Linked DNA regions of Canis lupus familiaris. The protein of the gene in region 1 interacts with the protein of each later gene in a biochemical or structural test. Links are inferred from orthologs where the notes say so. Each region holds a gene or a part of one and is shown in the gene's direction. Other genes may lie near its edges.

What was found.
Region 2: the proteins of FGF9 (region 1) and FGFR3 form a complex in vitro, tested with the Homo sapiens proteins (3 studies listed by BioGRID and IntAct, with this or other methods). The link is inferred for Canis lupus familiaris from reciprocal best matches to the Homo sapiens genes FGF9 and FGFR3.
Region 3: the proteins of FGF9 (region 1) and FGFR1 interact in a biophysical measurement, tested with the Homo sapiens proteins (2 studies listed by BioGRID and IntAct, with this or other methods). The link is inferred for Canis lupus familiaris from reciprocal best matches to the Homo sapiens genes FGF9 and FGFR1.

Annotation. Positions count from the first base shown.
Region 1 is NC_049246.1:16,712,084-16,714,765, reverse strand, and holds part of FGF9 (fibroblast growth factor 9), read left to right. Parts: intron 1-1,345; coding exon 1,346-1,591; 3' UTR 1,592-2,682.
Region 2 is NC_049224.1:62,845,583-62,849,234, reverse strand, and holds part of FGFR3 (fibroblast growth factor receptor 3), read left to right. Parts: intron 1-846; coding exon 847-1,019; intron 1,020-1,095; coding exon 1,096-1,219; intron 1,220-1,296; coding exon 1,297-1,487; intron 1,488-2,416; coding exon 2,417-2,567; intron 2,568-3,295; coding exon of another isoform or gene 3,296-3,440; intron 3,441-3,652.
Region 3 is NC_049237.1:27,802,048-27,805,699, forward strand, and holds part of FGFR1 (fibroblast growth factor receptor 1), read left to right. Parts: intron 1-145; coding exon 146-318; intron 319-3,287; coding exon 3,288-3,411; intron 3,412-3,652. UniProt on the Homo sapiens protein: Tyrosine-protein kinase that acts as a cell-surface receptor for fibroblast growth factors and plays an essential role in the regulation of embryonic development, cell proliferation, differentiation and migration.

The DNA of each region.
Region 1 (2,682 bases):
GTGTGCATGTAAGAAGGACATCTATATTTTGGTGATGTCTAGTTTGCTGTCCTCTGCGTCTGAATGTCAGAAAGGGAAGAATATCAAAGATAAGGATCTGTGCTGCTCTTTTAAGTCTGCACACGGATGTGTGTGGTTTTTGGTTTGTTTTCTTATTCATGTAAGGTGCCAGATGGGTGAGAGCAAGAGAAATACTTTTAAAAGGTCATTTTGTGTTAATTTTTAAAAAGTGCCATCATGGAAGGTATTGATTTGAAAAGTTGCAGTCCGGTGGTGAGAGGGGCAAAGAGGCCATTCAATCCTGTTGGCCCGTTTCTCCAGGGGACAACTTTTGTGACTGGGTTTTGGGATGTGAGGCAGAGGTTTCTGGTCATTATGACTGCTCACGAGACACCTGGCTGCAGGAGCTCTGGGTTGTGGGGATAAGTGGGACCCAGAGTTTCATAAGGCTCAGGTGGAGGGAGAGGTGCACTTCATCTGTGAAAATGGGGAACCTTTTAACTTTGGGAATGTGGGGAAAAGTACAGTTTTTCTGTTGGTAGATGTGTGCCTGAGAATGTGGCTTTTTTAAGTTGGGGGGCTCTTTCTGTCTAAATTCAAGGGAGTAGGAGGGTTGCAACAATTGTTTTTACTTCTTTGTATCCAGGAAGACTCAGTCACATAGAAAGCATTCTATCTTGAATGTGAACCAGGGATTAACTGTATCAGAATTCCCCCCAGGGCCTGTTAAAAATGCATATTTCCAGACTTTCTGGATCCGAATTTTAAAGGATTGGAGATTGAACATTTGCATTTTAAAGAAGCAATGCAGGTGATTGTTCTGTAACCCTGAAGTTTGAAAAGCACTCTTAGAGTAGTAAGTAAACTCTACTGCTTCAGAGGGCAGGGGATTCTGACAACAGTGTGATTGTTGAGAATGTTGGGCAAGTACTTTGTAAAACATGTATTAAAGATGAGGCAGGTATTTGAACCTTTGGCTTCAGCTAAGGCTCTCCCTTGCAGGATGGTCACCAATCCAATTGCTGTAGTAAAAATGGGAACAACTCGAAGCATTGATCATCCTTTGTCTCTTTGTCTCTTTCAAATAATTGATGTATGAAAAGAAATCTAACCAGAAAATATTTGGAATCTTTTGCACTTCAGCCATTATGAAAAACAATTAAGTGTAGTTAAATTTATATAGCCAGGCACTTTTTTGGAAAATACATCCCAATGGTTAAACTGGGTTAAAATCAGTGTTTTCTCATCAGAGTGATATTATGTAGCCATTGAATGTTGCTTCAAATACAGAAAACAGCTCTTTTGCAAAATATTTATTTGTTTGCTTGTTTGTTTGTTTTAACAGGAAAAACTAACCCAAGAGTGTGTATTCAGAGAACAGTTTGAAGAAAACTGGTATAACACGTACTCTTCGAATCTATATAAACACGTGGACACTGGAAGGCGATACTATGTTGCATTAAATAAAGACGGGACCCCAAGAGAAGGAACGAGGACTAAACGGCACCAGAAATTCACCCATTTTTTACCTAGACCAGTGGACCCCGACAAAGTACCCGAACTATATAAGGATATTCTAAGCCAAAGTTGACAAAGACCATTTCTCCACTTGAGCCCTTAACAGAGTAACCACTATAAAGGTTTCACGCGGTGGGTTCTTATTGATTAGCTGTGTCATCACACCAGCTCCACTGTTGCCAAACTTTGCCGCATGCATTCTGTACGATGGAGGCTTGGAGGGGAACATGCTGATTTTGTTGTGCACTTACAGGCTTGTCCTCCTGGAGGGCCGCCGCCGCCCACTCGCTCCGGTCTATTGTGAGCCGAGGAGAGGGAGGCTGAGCGGGAGTGTGAGTGTGTGTGTGGATGGGTAGCAGGGGAGGTTGAAGAGAAGCAGAAGCAGAGAGGACAACGGCCTGATGCATGCTGGGATTTAGACGCGCTTTTACATTTTTGATCAATTGTCCTTCACCTTGTATCAGCACAGCTGCCATACTTCGACTCATCAGGATTCTGGCTGGTGGCCTGCGCGAGGGTACGCTGCATTTGCAAAGGCATGGAGGGTGCAGTCTTACTTACAAGACTTTTTCAGTTTAAGGCTCACTGGTGCCATCCCAGTGAATTTAAAGCAAAGACCTCTTAGTAATAAAAAAAAAAGTTAAATTTATTTATAGAAATTCCAAAGGCAACATTTTATTTATTTTATATATTTATTTATTATATAGAGTTTATTTTTAATGAAATATGTACAGGCCAGATAGGCATTTTGGAAGCTTTAGGCTCTGTAAGCATTAAATGGCAAAGTCCGCTACGAACCTGTGGTAAATTCATGCAAGTAAATATAACGGTGCATGGATAGGAGAAATCCTAATGACCCTAATGTACTAAAGGCGACAATCTCTTTTGTGCCCGTATTATTGTAAACTTATGCACATCATTCATGACACTGAGTATTCACTCTTCAGACTGCTTGTTTCATAGCTTATCCCAGAGGATTAAAGAGAAACTGGGTCTCAAACTTTTATTCTGTGTCTGTAATATTTCCTCTCTCATAAGTGACTTATTCCATCACTGTAACTTCACGGTTGGAAAATACAAGGGTTGGTATCTAGCCTACGTGTTTGAATCTCTTACAGAATATACCAAAGCTAAACAATAACTATGCTTTTATTTTAGTCGATC
Region 2 (3,652 bases), on another chromosome or scaffold:
GCAGTGCTGGTACCCCCCCCCCCACCCCAACCCAATCCAGTGGGCTCAGGGGCCCCAAGGGCCAACGCCAGGGCTGCCCTCCACAGGCATTGTCAGGGGTGCTGAGTCACCATGGTCTCTGCCTCCAGAGGGCTCCCTGCCTGAGCCTCAGTGCCCTTCTTCACCAGATGGCTATGTTGAAGGCAACAGGGCAGGGGTGGGGGTGAGAGGGGTGTCTCTCCCCGGCCCTGGGGGATGCCCATCCAGCCTCCCATGACAAGAATGCACCCCTTACCCCAGCATTGGAGGATGGAAACCACTTAGGGTGGGGATGGGCTCAACCCTGAAAACCAGGAAAGGTCAGGGCCTCCCAGATGCCACATCTGAGCCTCGTTGCCGCGTCCCCTCCCGCTTCCATCAGGCCCTGTTGTGAGCTAGAGGGTGACTTGGGGTCTCATGAATCCTGGCAGGCACTGGCTACCTTTAAGACTCAGGGCTCTGTGGGTGGTTGGGTCTTACATCCTGGTAAACTGCTTCCAGAGCCTGGCATGCCCATCCCGCTGGGCTCTGTGCCCTAGGCTGACCTGGTTCCACTGCCAGTGGGGTCTCCATCAGTGGGCCTGCCCCAGATGGGCCTCCCCTGGGAGGTACCCTGGTATCTTGAAGGCTCCCGGGTCAGGGAGCCCTCTTGTCGGGAGTGGGTTCCTGGGGAGGCAGTCAGGGAGGGACCATGTGGCTTAGCCTTGAGAATTCCAGGAGGTGATTCTGGGACCATCGAGGCAGAGGGGATGCTGAGGCTGGAGAGGCAAGGGACAGGTGGGCCTCTGCTCCCCTCAGGGGGCTAGCTGCCATGTGCCCCTCTGCCAGCAGGGGCTCCGTACTGGACACGGCCTGAGCGGATGGACAAGAAGCTGCTGGCTGTGCCGGCCGCCAACACTGTGCGCTTCCGCTGCCCGGCCGCTGGCAACCCCACGCCGTCCATCTCGTGGCTGAAGAACGGCAAGGAGTTCCGAGGCGAGCATCGCATTGGTGGCATCAAGGTGGGCCTGGCGGTGGGTGGCGCTGGCCGGTGGGGGCCTCGGCCTGCTGTCCCCTCACCCGCGCGCCCGCCTGCAGCTGCGACATCAGCAGTGGAGCCTGGTCATGGAGAGCGTGGTGCCCTCGGACCGTGGGAACTACACATGCGTTGTGGAGAACAAGTTTGGCAGCATCCGGCAGACGTACACTCTGGACGTGCTGGGTGAGGCCCCAGAATGCGGGCAAGGGCTGGCGGCTGGGCAGAGCCAGGGGCAGCGCTGACCCCATCTGCCCCCCCAGAGCGCTCCCCGCACCGGCCCATCCTGCAGGCCGGGCTGCCGGCCAACCAGACGGCCGTGCTGGGCAGTGATGTGGAGTTCCACTGCAAGGTGTACAGCGACGCCCAGCCCCACATCCAGTGGCTCAAGCATGTGGAGGTGAACGGCAGCAAAGTGGGGCCCGACGGTACGCCCTACGTCACTGTGCTCAAGGTGGGTGGCACCCCTGGCTGGGCGCCGGCAGATGGGACCCAGGCCTCGCACCATCAGGGGAGAAGTGGTACAGGGAGGCCCGGCTCGGCTCAGCACTGGTGGTGTGGGGGAGGGGAGGTTGGAGCATGTGGCCCTGCTGTGAGTCCTCAGTTTCCCTGTCTGCTCTAAGGGTTGGCCTTAGCCCTGGAGGCAGGCCTACAGATGGTGCCCTAGGCCGGGCTCAAGCTCCAGGCCTGGGGCAGGCAGGTGGCACATTCTGGGCCTGAGGTGCTGTCAGCCACTCCTTGTGCCACCCTCACCCGGCACCGTCCGGGTGTGCAGAGCACGGCTTGCTGCCTGCCTGCCTCCCTCGGCCCTTGCTTGGGCCAGCAGGGCCTCAGCTTCGTTCCCACGGCCTGAGGGGCGGGGGCCACCCGAGCTGGGAAGGTTGCAACACTCTCAGCCCAAAGAGAAACATCTGTTGCTGGTGGGGGTGGGGAGCAGGCACTTGGGCTGAGGGCAGGAGTCCAGACCCGACTGGAGAGGCCATGGTGGCCTGGTCGGGTGAGATCTCGACATGCATGGGAACATGCTTACCGTGAGCCAGGCAGCAACATAGCAGGCCCATCCAGGACCCCAGAGGCAGGCAGGCTGCATGCCAGCCCAGGAGGGCCTCTTGGAGGGCTGCCTGCCAGGGCTGCACTCTGGGCTGTAGTGGGTGCACGTGGAGAAGGTGCCTCCTGTGGAACCATGGCCTGCCACTGGAAGGTGCTTCTGTTGTCTCCTCCAGGCAGCCTTCCTGCCTGGCATAGCCTAGCCACACCCCCTTCTCCATTCTCTGAGGGCCACCCTCGTGGCAGGGTCTGTACCAGGGCCTGCTCCTGCATGGCCACTCTGTGCCCGGCCGGGCTGCCAAGGGCGCGCCTAAGCCGGGTCTCTTGTCCCCGCAGTCCTGGATCAGTGAGAGTGTGGAGGCCGACGCACGCCTCCGCCTGGCCAATGTGTCCGAGCGTGACGGGGGCGAGTACCTCTGTCGAGCCTCCAATTTCATAGGCGTGGCTGAGAAGGCCTTTTGGCTGCGTGTTCACGGGCCCCAAGCAGGTAACAACTCTGTCCCATGCTGTCTGGCACGCCGAGCTCCAGCTCCGATGCCCTGGCCATGCGCCCACCTGCACGCCCCCATCCTGCTCGCTCCCCGCCCTGTGGCTCGCACTGCACTCCCGATGGAGCCACCTCTGCCATGCTGGTGTCTCTGGTCTCCACTGTGACCGCCTGCTTCCAGCCCCCGTGGCCTGTGCTGACCCTGCCTGCGCTCCCACACACACCCCCAGGACTTCAGCCCCAGTGGGGGCTGTACCTCTCTAGGCTTCTGCTTCTGCCCCTACCCCCGTGTGTGTGCGTGCGTGTTGGTGTGTGTGCACGCCGGTGTGCTGTGTATCTTTCTCTCTCCCTTTCCCGCCCCTGGCTCCGCTGCCTACTCACTTCCCATTGGTCTGTTTGTCCACCCATCAGTTCACCTATTCTCCTGCACCCCCCCAGCGTACACGCTAACCCTGCATGCTGCGTTTGCGCAGCCTGCTGCTGGCCGCACGCCTGGCGCTCACCTGGGACAGAGGATTCGCCGGTGGAGGGACTGGCTTCGGGCTCTGTGTGGACGCACAAGGCAGAGGACCCTTGGCGCCGTGGCCGTGGTCATGGCAGTGGTGGTGGTGGTGGCGGCGGCAGCGTTTTCTTTGCAGCCTGGCGGGATCGTCACCATGTGGACTCTGGCTGTGGTGCCCGTGGGAGGTGCTGGCGCTCGCCTATCGCGCTCTGTTCTCTCTTTATAGACGGCGGGCGCTAACACCACCGACAAGGAGCTAGAGGTTCTGTCCTTACGCAATGTCACCTTTGAGGACGCGGGGGAGTACACGTGTCTGGCGGGCAATTCTATCGGGTTTTCCCATCACTCTGCGTGGCTGGTGGTGCTGCCAGGTACTGGCTCCTGCTGGTGCTCGCTCTGTTCCTGTCCTCTTGGGGTCGCTGGCTTGGGACACTCCACGGCTGCCAGGGACAGGCAGGGGGCCCTGCAGCTCACGGCCACCTTGCTCCACAGAACTCGTGCGCCAGGCCCTGTGGCTGATATGGGAGCAAAGTTGACATGCAGTGTCTTGGCTCAGAGGGGCCTCCCTGGAGCCGCCCCACTC
Region 3 (3,652 bases), on another chromosome or scaffold:
GTGGGATCGCTGGGGTGCCCTGAGTAGAGCAGGCATTGTTCACAGGTGTGGGGCAGGGAGGCGGGGCACCTCCAGGTCCTGGCCTGGCCCCTGCTCCTGAGCCTTACTGGTTCCCTGCCTGTCTCTCTTGGCTTTCCCTGGGCAGCCGTGGCTCCGTACTGGACATCCCCAGAAAAGATGGAAAAGAAATTGCACGCGGTGCCGGCTGCCAAGACCGTGAAGTTCAAATGCCCTTCCAGTGGGACTCCCAACCCCACGCTGCGCTGGTTGAAAAATGGCAAAGAATTCAAACCTGACCACAGGATTGGAGGCTATAAGGTATGTGTGTGTGTATGTATGTGAAAGTGAGTATAAGAGGAAGGGGAGAAGCTACTTAGAAATTCCTTATTATATGTTGTTAATTGTTTGAAGTAATACTTTCTAACTATAAAAGCAATGCGCTTTAGAGACGCCTGGCTGGCTCAGGGGTTGAGCATCTGCCTTTGGCTCAGGTTGTGATCCTGGGGTCTTGGGATGGAGTCCTATGTTGGGGTCCCTACGAGGAGCCTGCTTCTCCCTCTGCCTGTGTCTCTGCCTTTCTCTTTGTGTCTCTCATGATTAAATAAATAAAATCTTTAAAAAAAATAAAATTAAAAAACGCAGTGTGCTTTAGAAAAATTTCAAATACAAAAAAACTGCAAATAAAATATTCAGGTCTTTTCAGTCTTGGAGCACCTGGGTGGCTGTCAGTTGAGCGTCTAGCTCTTTCTGCTCAGGTCGTGAGATCAGGCCCCTCGTTGGGCTCTGCACTGGGCATGGAGCCTGCTTAACAATTCTCTCTTTCTCCCTCTGCCCTCCCACCTCACATGTTCATACATTCTCTCTTAAGAAAAAGAGTCTTTTTTTCTGTGTATGTGGTTCTTATGTAATCACATTAATGTATATAATTTATCACTTGTTAACATAACATGAGTCTTTTGCCATGTGCTTGAGATAATTTTTCATGACTATATAGTATTTCATTATTAAAATGTTTCGTTTAATGACCTGTTTTGTGATATTTGCCATTTTCTGGTTTTTGACTATTACTAATACTATTGTGGCAAATATCTTTTTTTTTTTTTTAAGATTTATTTATTTATTCATGAGAGACACAGACTGAGGGCGGGGGGTGGGCAGAGACACAGGCATAGGGAGAAGCAGGCTCCTCACAGGGAGCCCGATGTGGGACTCGATCCCGGATCCCAGAATCATGACCTGAGCTGAAGGCAGGCACCCAACCGCTAAGCCACCCACGCGTCCCTGTGGCGAATATCTTTGAACACAAATCTATGCTGGTGATTTTAAATGTTCTTCTCCCAGGACAGGTGGCTTGAAGCGAAGTTACTAGACCAAAGCATAAGCATTTTTTAAAGCACCTTCCCCTTTTTAAAGATTTTTCCTTTATTTCAGAGAGAGAGCAGAACGAGTGAGAACATGCATGGTGGGGGAGGGGAGAGGGAGAGAGAGGAGCACACTGCCCTCTGAGCCCCACGCTCAGCTCCATCCCAGGACCCCAGGATTATGACCTGAGCTGAAGGCAGATGCTTAATCAACAGAGCCACCCAGGCGCCCCTTTTTTTAGGCCCTTAATACATAGTTCCCGTTACCTTTCTCTCTCCTGGTAAGTAGGTAATTTTACTCATTCATTTATTTTTTTATTACATGAACCTTTTTTTTTTAAGATTTTATTTATTAATTCATGAGAGACACAGAGAGAGGCAGAGACACCAGCAAAGGAAGAAGCAGGCTCCACACAGGGAGCCTGGGTCTCCAGGATCAGGCCCTAGGCTGAAGGCAGTGCTAAACCGCTGAGCCACCGGGCTGGCCACATGAACATTTCTTGAACACGTCTTCCCAGAAAGCGTACTGGGCAGTAGAGTTCCAAGTACATCAGGAAGATGTAATATTTTTTGTGATACTTGCTTTGATGGAGGATGATGTAATGAGCTGGGGTGTGATTTTATTTTTTTAATTTTATTGTGGTAACAGTTCCTTTCCCAAAAAGAAAATTAATTCATCTTCCCATGGCTCGAGTATGAGGATGACAAGCTCACCATACCTGAGCCAACAACTCTCATAGATGACAGAAGTAACTCACTCTTCTCTTGTTCATTGTTCTACTTACTAACAGGTTTCAAATTTTCATGTTAATAAGCAACTTCTGTTTCCGGCCATGTGAATTGTCTGCGTCCTTTGCCCATCTGTGTTTCTAGCAAGAACTTCTTCATCCTAATCCTTTCTTTAAACTCTGATCATTCTGCTATCCCATCTCACCTAGCTGCTCTTTTCCCATTAATCTGGTATAAGGAAAGCAGAGATCAGGGCACATGGCTGGCTCAGCTGGTAGAGCGTGCAACTCTGTGGTCACAGGGCTCTGAGTTCAAGCCCCAGGTTGGGTGTAGAGCTTGCTTAAAAGAATAAAATCTTTAGAAAGAAAAGAAAAGCAGAGATCAGGAAAAATAGGGAAACATTATAAATTAACTGATCAAACACTTGCTGTATGCAAGGCACTGCCATGAGTGGTACAAAGCAGTGTTCTTTCCCACAAAGAACTTCCAGTCTAATAGGATGGCAGGCATCGTTGAACCTTGTCATAAAAAGCAGGCCTGGGTGGCTCAGTGGTTGAGTGTCTTGCCTTTGGCTCAGGCTGTGATCCTGGAGTCTCCGGATCGAGTCCCACATCGAGCTCCCTGCACATGGAGACTGCTTCTCCCTCTGCCTATGTCTGTGCCTCTCTCTCTCTCTGTGTCTCTCATCAATAAATAAATAAAATCTTAAAAAAAAAAAAAAAAGGCTGGCCATGATCTGTACATCAACAGGGGCACAGAGGGACAGTGAGAGCCATTCTGACCCAGGGTTGGGCCAGAGGAAATGGTTTTTAAAAGAAGAGGTCAGGGGTAGACAGAGCTGAAGTCTTCCCAGGGAGCTTTTGCAACTCAGGATGTGAACACGCAAATAGGGAGAAGCCCCGGTGTATTTGGGAGAATGGAGGAGTCACATAGGTCAGATCGCAGATGGCCCTCGCTGTGGCAGGCAGACCTCCAGAGTGCTTTATCCCCATCTGCCAGTCTGCCTGATGCGTTCTTGCAGTGAACATGGACCAGGGTGGCAGTCTCTGCCCAGTCCTGGCTCCCGTGCCATGCAGGCCATGTGCTCTGGGCTGGGATTGGAGGGTGAGTGCCACAGGGCACCCATGCTTCTGCATGGCTCTGGCTTCCATTTAACTTCAGACCCTCATTGGAGCTCTCTGGCATGTTTCCCCTCAGGTCCGTTACGCCACCTGGAGCATCATAATGGACTCCGTGGTGCCTTCTGATAAGGGCAACTACACCTGCATTGTGGAGAACGAATATGGCAGCATTAACCACACCTACCAGCTCGATGTCGTGGGTGAGAAGGCAGTGCAACAGGGTTAAAGGAGCTTAGAGCAAAGAGAGCAGGACTTAGAGCAAAGAAAACAGCCACAGGATCCAGGTTTCCTTAGGGGTCGAGTCAGGCTGGCAGGGGCATTTAATGGGACTGTCACCTGAAGCAGGTCTCGTGTCTGTTTTGTGCATTTAGTTAAGAGGATTGGACGCTATTAGGACTCATGAAATGTGAAAGGTGCTGTGCCAGTCTCCTGCAAGGGGTG